3 linked regions of the Mus musculus genome follow. The protein of the gene in region 1 interacts with the protein of each later gene in a pairwise test. Links are inferred from orthologs where the notes say so. Each region holds a gene or a part of one and is shown in the gene's direction. Other genes may lie near its edges. The genes, in order: Tasor2, Erh and Nek6.

Region 1 (3,653 bases):
AGTGATCTTGGCTGAAGATACCTTATTTTCAGCTGTTCAGGGTCATTGAAATCCATGGGAATGTTAATTGTTGCCTGCATGTGCCTTTCCTTATGGAAGTCCCTTTATGTCATAACAGATTCCTTCTCTACTGAAGCTAAAGCATTTCCCCAGTGTCGTCTTTGCTGGAGTGGACAGCCCTGAAGACATTGTAAATGAAACCTACCAAGAGCTGTTTCGATCAGGCGGCTTTGTGGTATCAGATGATGTCATACTAGAAAGTTTAACATTAGGTTAGTCTTTAATTTTGAAATCTAATTAGTTCAGTTTCTCTTCTTCCAGTGACATACTGTTTCATCAAAAAGAAATCACTTACTGTATATTGAGGGCTTAATTTGTGCCAATTGCTGCACTACATGCTTTTACTATAGTAATTCAATTGATGGACATTTATGTTCATAGCTATTGTGAACAGAGTCCAATAAACATGTAACACAAGCTAGATACCAAGGCTTTGCATATATAACCTTGGTGTATAATAGCTGGTTCATTTGGGAACTATATTTCTAGAATTTGCAGAGAAATTTAGACCAATTATTAAATTGTTCAGATTTCAGTTCCTTCCCCAGTGAGTGAAGGTTCTTTTCCTCACTTACATGCTTGTATTGTGGTCATTTGGCTTCCTGATGAATGCTGTTCTGTACTGCAGTGAATCTGAAAAAGTGGTGGCAATCTCTATTCCCTAATGGCATTAATGTGCACTGATCATGTTATAAAATGATCTTTGCCATTATAGCATGACCAGATAGAATAGTTTGTGGAGTCACTGATGTTGCCAGTGGAGACAAATGTTGTTCATAAGTGGCAATGGACCTTGCAACAAAAACTAAGATACTTCTTCTCATACTTAACTTACTCTGCAGTTCAACTGAAGGAAATTCTCAAAATCCTAGAAAAACTAAATGAAAATGGCAAATGGAAGTGGCTGCTTCACTACAGAGAAAGTAAAAATCTCAAGGAAGACGTCAGGTCAGTGTGTGTGAAGGGTGCAGGAGCCCCTGGTCCAATGTTTGTTGTGCTTAGTGTAATTCAAGCACCACAGCCAGAAAGTAGTGTTAGCATGGGAGTCACATTCCTAAGGTTTATGTCTGCTGGTTAGCTTTGGGATTTGGTTTTTATAGTAGGGCATTCAGTGCAAAGTATTTATAGCAACATTTTGAGTCAGGATTAACACCCACAGTTAAGTCAGGCTCTGCTGCCATAAGCTGCAGACATAGTGAGCAGTAAGCTTAGTGCTAGTGCTTTTTGTGGGTACTTAGTCATATATTGAGTTGTCAGGGTTTAACAGATTAACAGGAGGCAAGTCACCTTAATCTAAAGCAATGATCTGTTATATGTGTGTGGTATATGCCCGTGTTTGTGTAGGTTGCATGGAGCTTGGCCTACATCAGATGTCTTCTGTCACTGTCCAATGTATGTTTTGAGAGGTCACATTAACCATGGAACTCATCTATTGCAGCAGGCTGGTTGGCTAGCCAGTGAGCCTGTCACCCTGGGTGTGTGCTATGACACCTGGCATTTTCTGTGGTCACATCCTTATGCTTACCCAGCAGGTTCTTTGCTGACTGACTCCACCACATATCCCTAGCATTGATATAATAAGTGGAAACGTCCACTAAGTCTAGTGAGAAAGTGGTTCTATTTGTATGACTGCCTAAGAACTTTGAAGTTGCTAACATAAATGGTTGAAGTGGCAGAAGCTACATGGGTTGTGACTTGGGCCTTGGAATGAGGCCCAAGGTTACAATCTATTTTCAAAGGTGTCATTATTATATAATTATTATATAATGTTTAGAGGCAGCTAATCAGGACATTAAATACAAGATCATTAAGAAAAAAGCACAGGCTTGTTGACCAAGTGTTTTAATACAACTACTTAAAATGAAAGACAGTTAGAGATGGTTCTATAGTTAAGAGAGATGATCCAAATTCAGTTCCCAGCATGGCCTAAACTGCTTCTAAAACTAGGTCCAGGAAAGCAAACACCCTCTTCTGGACTCTTAGGGTACCTACATTCACGTGTATACCTTTTCAACCTCAAATACACAATTTAAAATGAATTTTAAGCAAGAAAAGGTACTAACATTTCTTTGTATATTACAGGGTAGATTCAATTGCACATAAAAAGAATCTAATTCTAAAGTCATATCAGAGTGTAAATATCATTGACTTACTTCATTATCACAACTGTGATTCTCCATCATCAACAAAAGCTGAAATTTTTAAATGCTTGTTAAACTTGCAAATTCAACATATCAGTGCCAGGTTTGCTGTCTTCCTAACAGGTAAATATAAGCTAAATTGTAATCTTCACTACTCAGTTAATGCTACCCCAGGACAGCTGTAGAAATATCCTTCCTAATTAGTTATTGAATGCCTTAGCTAGTAGCATGTGTTTTGACAAATGCTTGTAAGTCCAGAGGATGCTTGCCAAGGAGTGTTTGTCTAGTTAACACTCTTCTAATTATCAGGTCCTACATATGCATGTTTTACTATATCACATCTTCTAAGTCTTAGGTGGACTGTCTGGCTTTCTGAAGCTGGTACAGTTGTAGCTTATATCCCTTCCCTCTACCCATCCTGCCCTGAAGTCTTCATTTCTCTTCTCACTTTAATGAATTCTGCTACCTTGAACAAATGAAAAACCCTGGCCTTTTATCATAGATTTTTTTTCCCCTTCCTTTACAGACAAGCCCACAGTTTCCACAGAAATCTTTGAAAATAATGGAATCCTTGTTACAGATGTAAACTACTTCACTGAAAATATACAAAAGATAGCAGCTCCATTTAGGAGTAGTTATTGGTAAGAACTTTTTGTAAAACTCCCCTTGGAAACTGGAGTTATTGGCAGCAGGTATCTGCCACTGAGGGGGGAAAATGCTGATCAAAAACTGCTCTTTGATTAATCAGCCAGCTTTAACTTTGTCCAGTGATGTCACTTGTAGCCAGTCTGGGTTGACCTGGTAAACTGATATATGACACATAGGCCTTTCCCCCCTATTGTCCCAGTTGTATTTCTTGCTCATTTTCTTACCATTTTTGTGTTCCTACAGGTAATTTTGGGAGTTGGCTATACATGGAGTACATCAACAAGAACTTCATATTTTTCCTGTGTCTAAAAAACTCCAAATACATACATACAAACAACTGTCATTTGAATAATGTTTTGCTTCTCATCAAAGCATTAGCTTTGGGTTATAATGCTGAATATTGTTGTAAATTATTTTCAACCTAAACATAATGCGTTCAGAACTATTAATTGATCTAAATATTAAAACTTGAGACCCTCACGTTTATGTGGCTAAAGCTAAGTCTATTTTGAGAAATAGCTGTTTTTGCATATGGTCAGAGGATTAAGAACTGCATGTTTGAGAGGTTTTACCACATTGTAGAAAGTATAATCTGTAATGGTTATTTGCTGTTACGTAAGAAACACTACATAGATAAAGAAAATTTTTTGTAAATGACAAATTTTTACACTTGGGTTTTTTAATGCTGCACTACAAAAGTCAATTGAGGAAGAAATCCTTTATTTATGATATTAGAAACTTCTTAAATCTTTAAAATACAAACAAGAAAAAAACCATTTGTATACTTAGGCTTTTATACCTAGT
Region 2 (3,653 bases), on another chromosome or scaffold:
AAATTAAAGTGGCCAGCCAGCAGTCCTTTTCCAGGTCAATCTTCCTCCGGCAGATACAGCGCTGCTTACGTTCTCGTGCTCCCCCACAGGTGTTTGTAAAATGTATGAAGAACATCTGAAGAGGATGAATCCCAACAGCCCTTCCATCACATACGATATCAGCCAGTTGTTTGATTTTATTGACGATCTGGCAGACCTCAGCTGTCTGGTGTAAGTATTAGCCACTATATCTTTTAATTTGTATTTTTCTGGTTTTTGTCCATTTATATAGTTGCCAGTGTTTCACTTACATGTAAATAAAAAGTTAAAATGATACTATAGAGCTGAAGGCATGAGGGGCTTGGCAGTTGCTAGCGTGAGGTGAGGATAGACGGGCTCCACGTTGTGTGGGATAGTCCTTGTCTTGGGTTCTTAGCCCTTTTACTTTTTCCTAAAGTAATTGTTTTCAGATTAAAACCAAGGGTCTGTTCTTAAAGTCTAATTTAGTCCTACCTGTGTAAACAGGGCTTGTTTTGTTTCGTTGGTGTGAGGTTTCAGATTCTGACGTGCTTGTTACATTTTATTGTCAGTAGTACTGAGGTAAAGTGGTACACCTTGAACCAGACTATAGACTAGATTGGCACTTATTTAATTAGAACATATGAACAGAGCGTGATCCTAGGAAATTATTCACTTGTTGGAAATTTCCATAAAACAGCATTAGTAAAGAACTGATTGTTTATATTTGATTAGGCGTGTTAGACAATGGGAAGTCTATGCGCTGTAGTAAACGACCTCTGGCCTGACTGCAGAAAAAATTGGTGTTGGTAATATAGAGCATTCCTTATTTGGAGTTTATTTAGCATTCCTTATTTGGAGTTTATTTTCCTTATTGGAAATTGGCCCCATGGGGGCGGGGGGTACAGGCTTATAATTTCAGCTAATTGAGAGGGTGAGGCAGGAGGATGGAAAGTTTAGTTTAAGGCTAGACAACTTAGTGTAGACTTGAGTGTGTATAGCTCAGGGTAAACTGCCTGCTTACCAGGCACGAAGCCCCATTTCAGTCTTCAGTGCTGTGAATCATAATAGTGTAGCTTTTTAGCTTAGTAGATCCTGGTGAGGGCTCTGATGCCTGGATGTTGAGCTGTACTGTGTATAGTGGGTGACAAGATTTATAATCTGAGGGAAATGAATCTTGCCCAGCACCACTTGGCTATTAGGTTGCTTCACGTTCACCCTTGATTTTCTTACTTCCTTTTTATTTTTAAACATAATTGTAGCTACTTACAGGAATATTTTTTAGAAAGATGAAGAGAGGGGCTGGTGAGATGGCTCAGTGGGTAAGAGCACCCGACTGCTCTTCCAAAGGCCAGGAGTTCAAATCCCAGCAACCACATGGTGGCTCACAACCATCCGTAACAAGATCTGACGCCCTCTTCTGGAGTGCCTGAAGACAGCTACAGTGTACTTACATATAATCAATAAATAAATCTTTAAAAAAAAAAAAAAGAAAGATGAAGAGAGCTAATTCAGATACTTAAAGTAATATCCTGTGCTTAGTAACAACTTTGTGGGGTTGGGGGTTGAGGCAGGGCTTCTCTGTTTAGCCCTGGCTGTCCTAGAACTCACCCTGTAGTAAACCAGGCTGGCCTTGACTTAGAGATTCACCTGCCTCTGCTTCCCAAGTGCTGGGATTAAAGGCCTGTGCCACCACCTGGCTAACTTTAATTTTAAAACATACTATCACTTGTTTAATTTATTATTTTTATTATTATTATTTGTATGGTTGTCTTGTCTGCATCTTATGTCTGTTAACTACATGTATTTCTGATGCTCTCAGGGGCCAGAAGAGAGGTGTCAAATCCTCTGGAACTGGAGTTACGTACAAATGGATATGAGCTGTTGTGTGGGTATTGGGAATTGAACCCAAGGTCCTCTGGAGCCATCTTTCGAGCACCCTCCCCCCAGTTTGTCTTTTAGGTTTGTTAGTTTGTTTGAGATAGGGTTCCACTGTGTATCCCTGACTGTCCTGAAACTTGCTCTGTAGACCAGGCTGGACTCAAATTCAAATCTGTCTGCCTCCAAGTGCTGGGATTCTATACCACCACACCTGGTGCTTTCCTTCCCTTGTTATACTACAGATTTTTGTTTGTTTGATATTTTCTGTGTATAGGTATTTTCGTCTGCATATATGTCTGTATACTGTGTACATGCAGTGCCTTCAGAAGACATTGGATCCCCTGGTACTGGAGTCACAGCAGACCCATGTGATCTTTACATGTGGGTGCTGGGGAATCAAACCCAGGTCCTCTAGATAGAGAGCAACCAGTGCTCTTAACCACTCCCTAAGCTGTCTCTCCATCCTTGTACTGCTGCGTTAGTGTGTATTCCTCCACATAGAGTTGAGTTTCAGGCCAGCTGGAAAGTGTCTGTTCAACTCTCATAAAGATAACCTTGACTGACTCAGTGTACTGCAGACCCTGAAAACCTGCTGCTGCTGCAAGTCTTCCTGCCTTCCCCTTCCCTTCTAAAAGAGATGCTCTTCTGATATTTTCATCTGTAGGCCTTTGGTTTTTATTTTTATAAGCAAATCTTAAAAACTATGAGTTCCTTAAATAACAGGAAATCATTATTGAATTAATATTCTACTAGAGATTTCTTAGTTGATTTCTTAGAATAAGTTGAGCAAACCTAAACCTTGTACTAGTGTTTAGCTATTGCTATTAATCACTAAAGGAATTATAAAAAATAGATCAATAAAAAATGAAGCTATGTAGTAGGAAAAAACACAAGGTTTTTGGTTAGAAAGTGTGTTAACTGAGTGCTTCAGAGTTCTGGGCCTTGGCTTTTATCACCATCAGATCATACTAGGTGATACAGATCTGTTTGTTAAAACAGCAGCATTGGGTTAGAGACATGGCTCAGTGGTAAAGACTGCTCTTCCAGAGGTTCTGTGAGTTCAATTCCCAGCAACCACATGGTGGCTCACAACCATCTGTAATGGGATGCCCTCTTCTGGTGCGTCTGAAAGAGAGCAGCTGTGCTCATATACCTAAAATAAATAAACCTTTAAAAACAAAACAAAAAACCCACAGCAGCATTGTCCACTTTTGGTTCTCTTCATGTGTAAAAATGTGCAGGTTGAAGCCACCCTGGGCAGTTCTAACTGACCGCTGTAACTTTCTGTTCTCAGTTACCGAGCTGATACACAGACATACCAGCCGTATAACAAAGACTGGATCAAAGAGAAGATCTACGTGCTCCTCCGTCGGCAGGCCCAACAGGCTGGGAAGTAATTGAGTCGGAAGCATTGGGGCTGGGGGTGGACTTGGAACAGGTACATACAGCGTGCTGTAGTGAACCTTTTGTATGATAGCGATCCTGTTTCAACGTTGTTACACTCAAGCCAAGATTGAATGTCTGACATGAACCGTGAATGATCTTGTCACTCTGAAGCCACCGTGGCCCTTTGCTCCTTTACTTTCATTTTTTTACTTAAACATTTTTATGATAATACAAATAGAAAACATTTTTGCCATTTAAGGTTGGTTCCGGTCCTTGAAACTGTCGAGTCTGCTTTTAAGCAGTGAGCGCACTAACCCTTTGTGGGGGTGGGGTGGGGACAAGGTTAGTCATATAGCCTCTGGGAAAGTCTCAGTGAAAAATAAAGAAAT
Region 3 (3,653 bases), on another chromosome or scaffold:
AATCCAAGTCACAAATGGGAGACAATACTAGCACACCTTATTACCTCATCAAGAAAGGTCTTGTGCATAGGTTTGCTGACAGATCAATACTGATAAATACATAATCCAGGGTCTAATGCAGTCTGATCTGTTGAGTATTTTCAGAGTTTCGGGGTATCGAGGTCCCTACCTCCACTTTACCTTATGCCCAGTCCCATGGCTCCTAGCATCCCCTGGGACGTGCTGGCCTCTCCTCACACGGGATCTTCGCACAAGCCATACCAACTCAAATCTTTGGCCTCAATTATTCTCATTAGACCTGAGAAAGCAGCTTTTCCTGCTGGCACAGACTAGCTGGGCTCAAAGACTTCTGGAGCATTTAGAAAACATGCTGTCAGTCAGACCCTGGCTGTCAGCTGTCTGAGCAGTGCCAACCCCGCTGTAGTGGTATTGGGAATCCTCTCTTGCTCCCCAAGACCCAGTAGCCATGTAGGTCACCACCTGGGAGGGTCCTCTTCCAGATGGAGCTGATTTTTACCACCCTGCCTGGGTTCCACCCACTTCCTCATCTTGGAGTCCATGAGTGAGAGAGTCAGTCAGAGGCGCTTAGGGTGGGAAGGATACTTAGTTTCCAAGGGACTTCTGAGACTTTGAGAAAGAACAAAAGAGCAGCAGGGAATGCTTCACTTCAGTGAAGCCAGGAGCTGAGCCTGAGCAGAGGCTGGAGGGGCCGTGGGGGTGGGGGGGCGGCACTGGAGCCACGCCACTCATCGCTGGCCACTCCCCCTTCTGGTGCAGCAACTGAACCATCCGAATATCATCAAGTATCTGGACTCCTTCATCGAAGACAATGAGCTGAACATTGTGCTGGAGTTGGCTGACGCGGGTGACCTCTCACAGATGATCAAGGTCAGGGGCCTGGAGCAGGGCAGCCTCCTCTCAACGGGCATGGGCGGGGCCTGGGGGTGTTATGGAGGCTCGATAACTTGGCCTGGCTCTGACCTCAGCACCTATGTGGGGTACCCTTGTCTTCTTTTCAGGCTTGAGGGGGATGCACAAACAAGGCAGAATGATGCCTGTATAGGATGATGCCTGGGTGCGGGTTGTGGTACACAGAAGGGACCCTTTGGGCCAGCCACACTGCTCCAGCCCAGAGCACTTGGGGACACTTTTCTCAGCAGAAGGAACAGGAACAGTGAACACCTCCAAAGGTCAGACTGTATTTCTGTTTTAGGGCTACTATTGCTGTGATGAAACACCAGGGCCAATAGCAAATTGGACAGGGCAGGGCTTATTTAGTGTACACTTCCACATCCTTGTTCATCACTGAAGAAAGTCAGGACAGGAACTCAAACAGGGCTGAGGCAGGAGCTGGAAGCAGGAGCTGATGCAGAGGCCTTGGAGGGGTGCTGCTCACTGGCCTGCTCTTCATGGCTTGTTCAGCCTGCTTGCTTTCTTTTTTTGTTTTGTTTGGTTTTTTGTTTTGTTTTTTTGAGACAGGGTTTCTCTGTGTAGCCCTGGCTGTCCTGGAACTCACTTTGTAGACCAGGCTGGCCTCGAACTCAGAAATCCACCTGCCTCTACCTCCCAAGTGCTGGGATTAAAGGCATGCACCACCACTGCCTGGCTCAGTCTGCTTTCTTGTAGCACTCAGGACCACCAACCAACACACAGTGGGCTGGGCCCTCCCACATCAATCACTAATTAAGAAGATGCCCTACAGGTTTGCCCACAGCCTGATCTCATGGAGGCACTTTCTTAGTTGAGGTTCCCTCCTCTCAGATGACTCCAGTTTGTGCCAAGTTGACATAGATTGACTCCTTGTCAGCCCGACACACAAGCACATCACTGTTAAGCGCACAGCCTTTCTTTCCTTTCTCAGTCATCCTCAAGATCATACATTAATACCAACGTCATCATAATAATAGAAATCACTTTACAAACTTAAAAAGGAAACCCCACAGTCTTTACAAATTCAAACACTTTAAAAGCTGGCCTCTTTGCCGAGCAGTGGCACACACCTTTAATCCCAACACTTGGGAAGCAGGGGCAGGGGGATTTCTGAGTTCGAGGCCAGCCTGGTCTACAGAGTGAGTTCCAGGATATCCAGGACTGCACAGAGAAACCCTGTCTCAAAAAAGCAAAAAACAAAACAAAAAATTGGTCTCTTTAAAAATTCCAAGACTCTTTAAAAATTCCAAGACTCTTTAAAAATTAAAAGTCTTTTAACTGTGGGCTCCTGTAAAATAATAAACAAGCTAAATACTTCCTTACTTCAAGGGGGGAAAAACCAGGGTACAGTCTGAACAAGGTAAAACCAAACCCCAACTATATAAATAACTCAAGTCCAATGTCTGGAATCCACACAGGGTCTTCTGGACTCCTTCAGGGGCTTGCTTGGGTCACTTCTCAGGCTCCACCCTCTGCAGCATACACAAATGGTTTTCTAGGCTCTGACTGGGTCCACTCCACTGCTGCTGCTGCTCTTGCTGGTTCTCCCATGGTACAGGCATCTCAAACTGTAGAGTCTTCTGTTGCAACTGGATTGCACCAATTGCGCCTCCTGGGCTCTCTTCTTGGTGCTAAGGCTCAGACTCTTTTCATGACCCCTTCAGTTCTGGGGCATTAGATGCTACTCTGGCTGTACCTTCACCACTGTCCTTTCCTGTCCTCTCATCGTGCCAAGCCTTGGCTGCTCTCCATGACCCCTGCATCCCTTTGGAGCTACCTGGGTGACTCTTACACTACAAAGTTCAGCTACTAGCACAAGGTACAACCTTGGGTGCCTCTGAACACACGTCCTCTGTGTTGATCTTCAGGAAACACTTCCAAGGTTTCACCTCAGTGATGCTGGTCTCTTCTTAATCACTACTAAGTGCTCAGCTCTAGCCGACCAGCAAAGCAAGGTTTCCCTTTAGCGGTTATGGTCCCTTGTTAATCACCGCCATTTTTTCAGCCCCTGTTAAACAGAACCACAGATTCTTAATTCAAAATATGTAGCGGCCCATTAAATGACATATCCTTTGGTTCCAGCTGCCATTTCCTATAGGAGGGGAAACTGAGGCCTAGAAAGGCTGCCTTGTCTGAGAACACCCACTATAGAGGAACTGTGTTTACCAGGCCTGGCACTGGCTGGAGGTCATGGTCTCCACACAGCCTACACAGCCTTTGGACAGGTGTTGTCTTCATTATCCATAGTGAGGATTCCATGCCTGCTCTGTGAGGGATTAAGCAACTTTAACCCCCTAAAACTCAGTGCCATGTTCTCTGATATTCCTAAGCTTTCTTGTCCCCATCCCAGGTCTCAGGAGTGGAGCTACCATAGATAGGTTTGGCTTCAGGGACATGGCAGCTCCACTTGGAGAGTGCTGCCATCAGCCACAGCCATGCTGAAACACTGAGCTCAGAGAGGTTTAGTGTCCAGCCAAAGGCAGCACAGCCTGTAAGTGGAAAAGCCCTCACCCATAGCTTCTGATACTTGCTTCTCCTTCAAGGCCCACATGTCCCTGCTTGCATGGGTCCTCATCTCTAGCCCCTAAAGTGGAGCCCCATCACCTGCCTCCCCTGAACCTTGTCTGTGTGTCCTCAGTAAAGCCAGGCCACGCTCAAGCCCCACACTGAACTCCCAGATGTGTTTGGATATGGCCGACGTGGATTCTGTCTTCCCAGCAGGC

What was found.
Region 2: the proteins of Tasor2 (region 1) and Erh interact in binary tests that used the Homo sapiens proteins (3 or more experiments, as listed by UniProt). The two-hybrid records come from large-scale screens. The link is inferred for Mus musculus from reciprocal best matches to the Homo sapiens genes TASOR2 and ERH.
Region 3: the proteins of Tasor2 (region 1) and Nek6 interact in binary tests that used the Homo sapiens proteins (3 or more experiments, as listed by UniProt). The link is inferred for Mus musculus from reciprocal best matches to the Homo sapiens genes TASOR2 and NEK6.

What each region holds. Positions count from the first base shown.
Region 1 is NC_000079.6:3,566,107-3,569,759, reverse strand, and holds part of Tasor2 (protein TASOR 2), read left to right. Parts: intron 1-118; coding exon 119-272; intron 273-902; coding exon 903-1,008; intron 1,009-2,142; coding exon 2,143-2,324; intron 2,325-2,727; coding exon 2,728-2,842; intron 2,843-3,092; coding exon 3,093-3,096; 3' UTR 3,097-3,653.
Region 2 is NC_000078.6:80,634,047-80,637,699, reverse strand, and holds part of Erh (enhancer of rudimentary homolog), read left to right. Parts: intron 1-89; coding exon 90-210; intron 211-3,172; coding exon 3,173-3,275; 3' UTR 3,276-3,653. UniProt on the Homo sapiens protein: May have a role in the cell cycle.
Region 3 is NC_000068.7:38,560,104-38,563,756, forward strand, and holds part of Nek6 (serine/threonine-protein kinase Nek6), read left to right. Parts: intron 1-777; coding exon 778-888; intron 889-3,653. UniProt on the Homo sapiens protein: Protein kinase which plays an important role in mitotic cell cycle progression. Required for chromosome segregation at metaphase-anaphase transition, robust mitotic spindle formation and cytokinesis.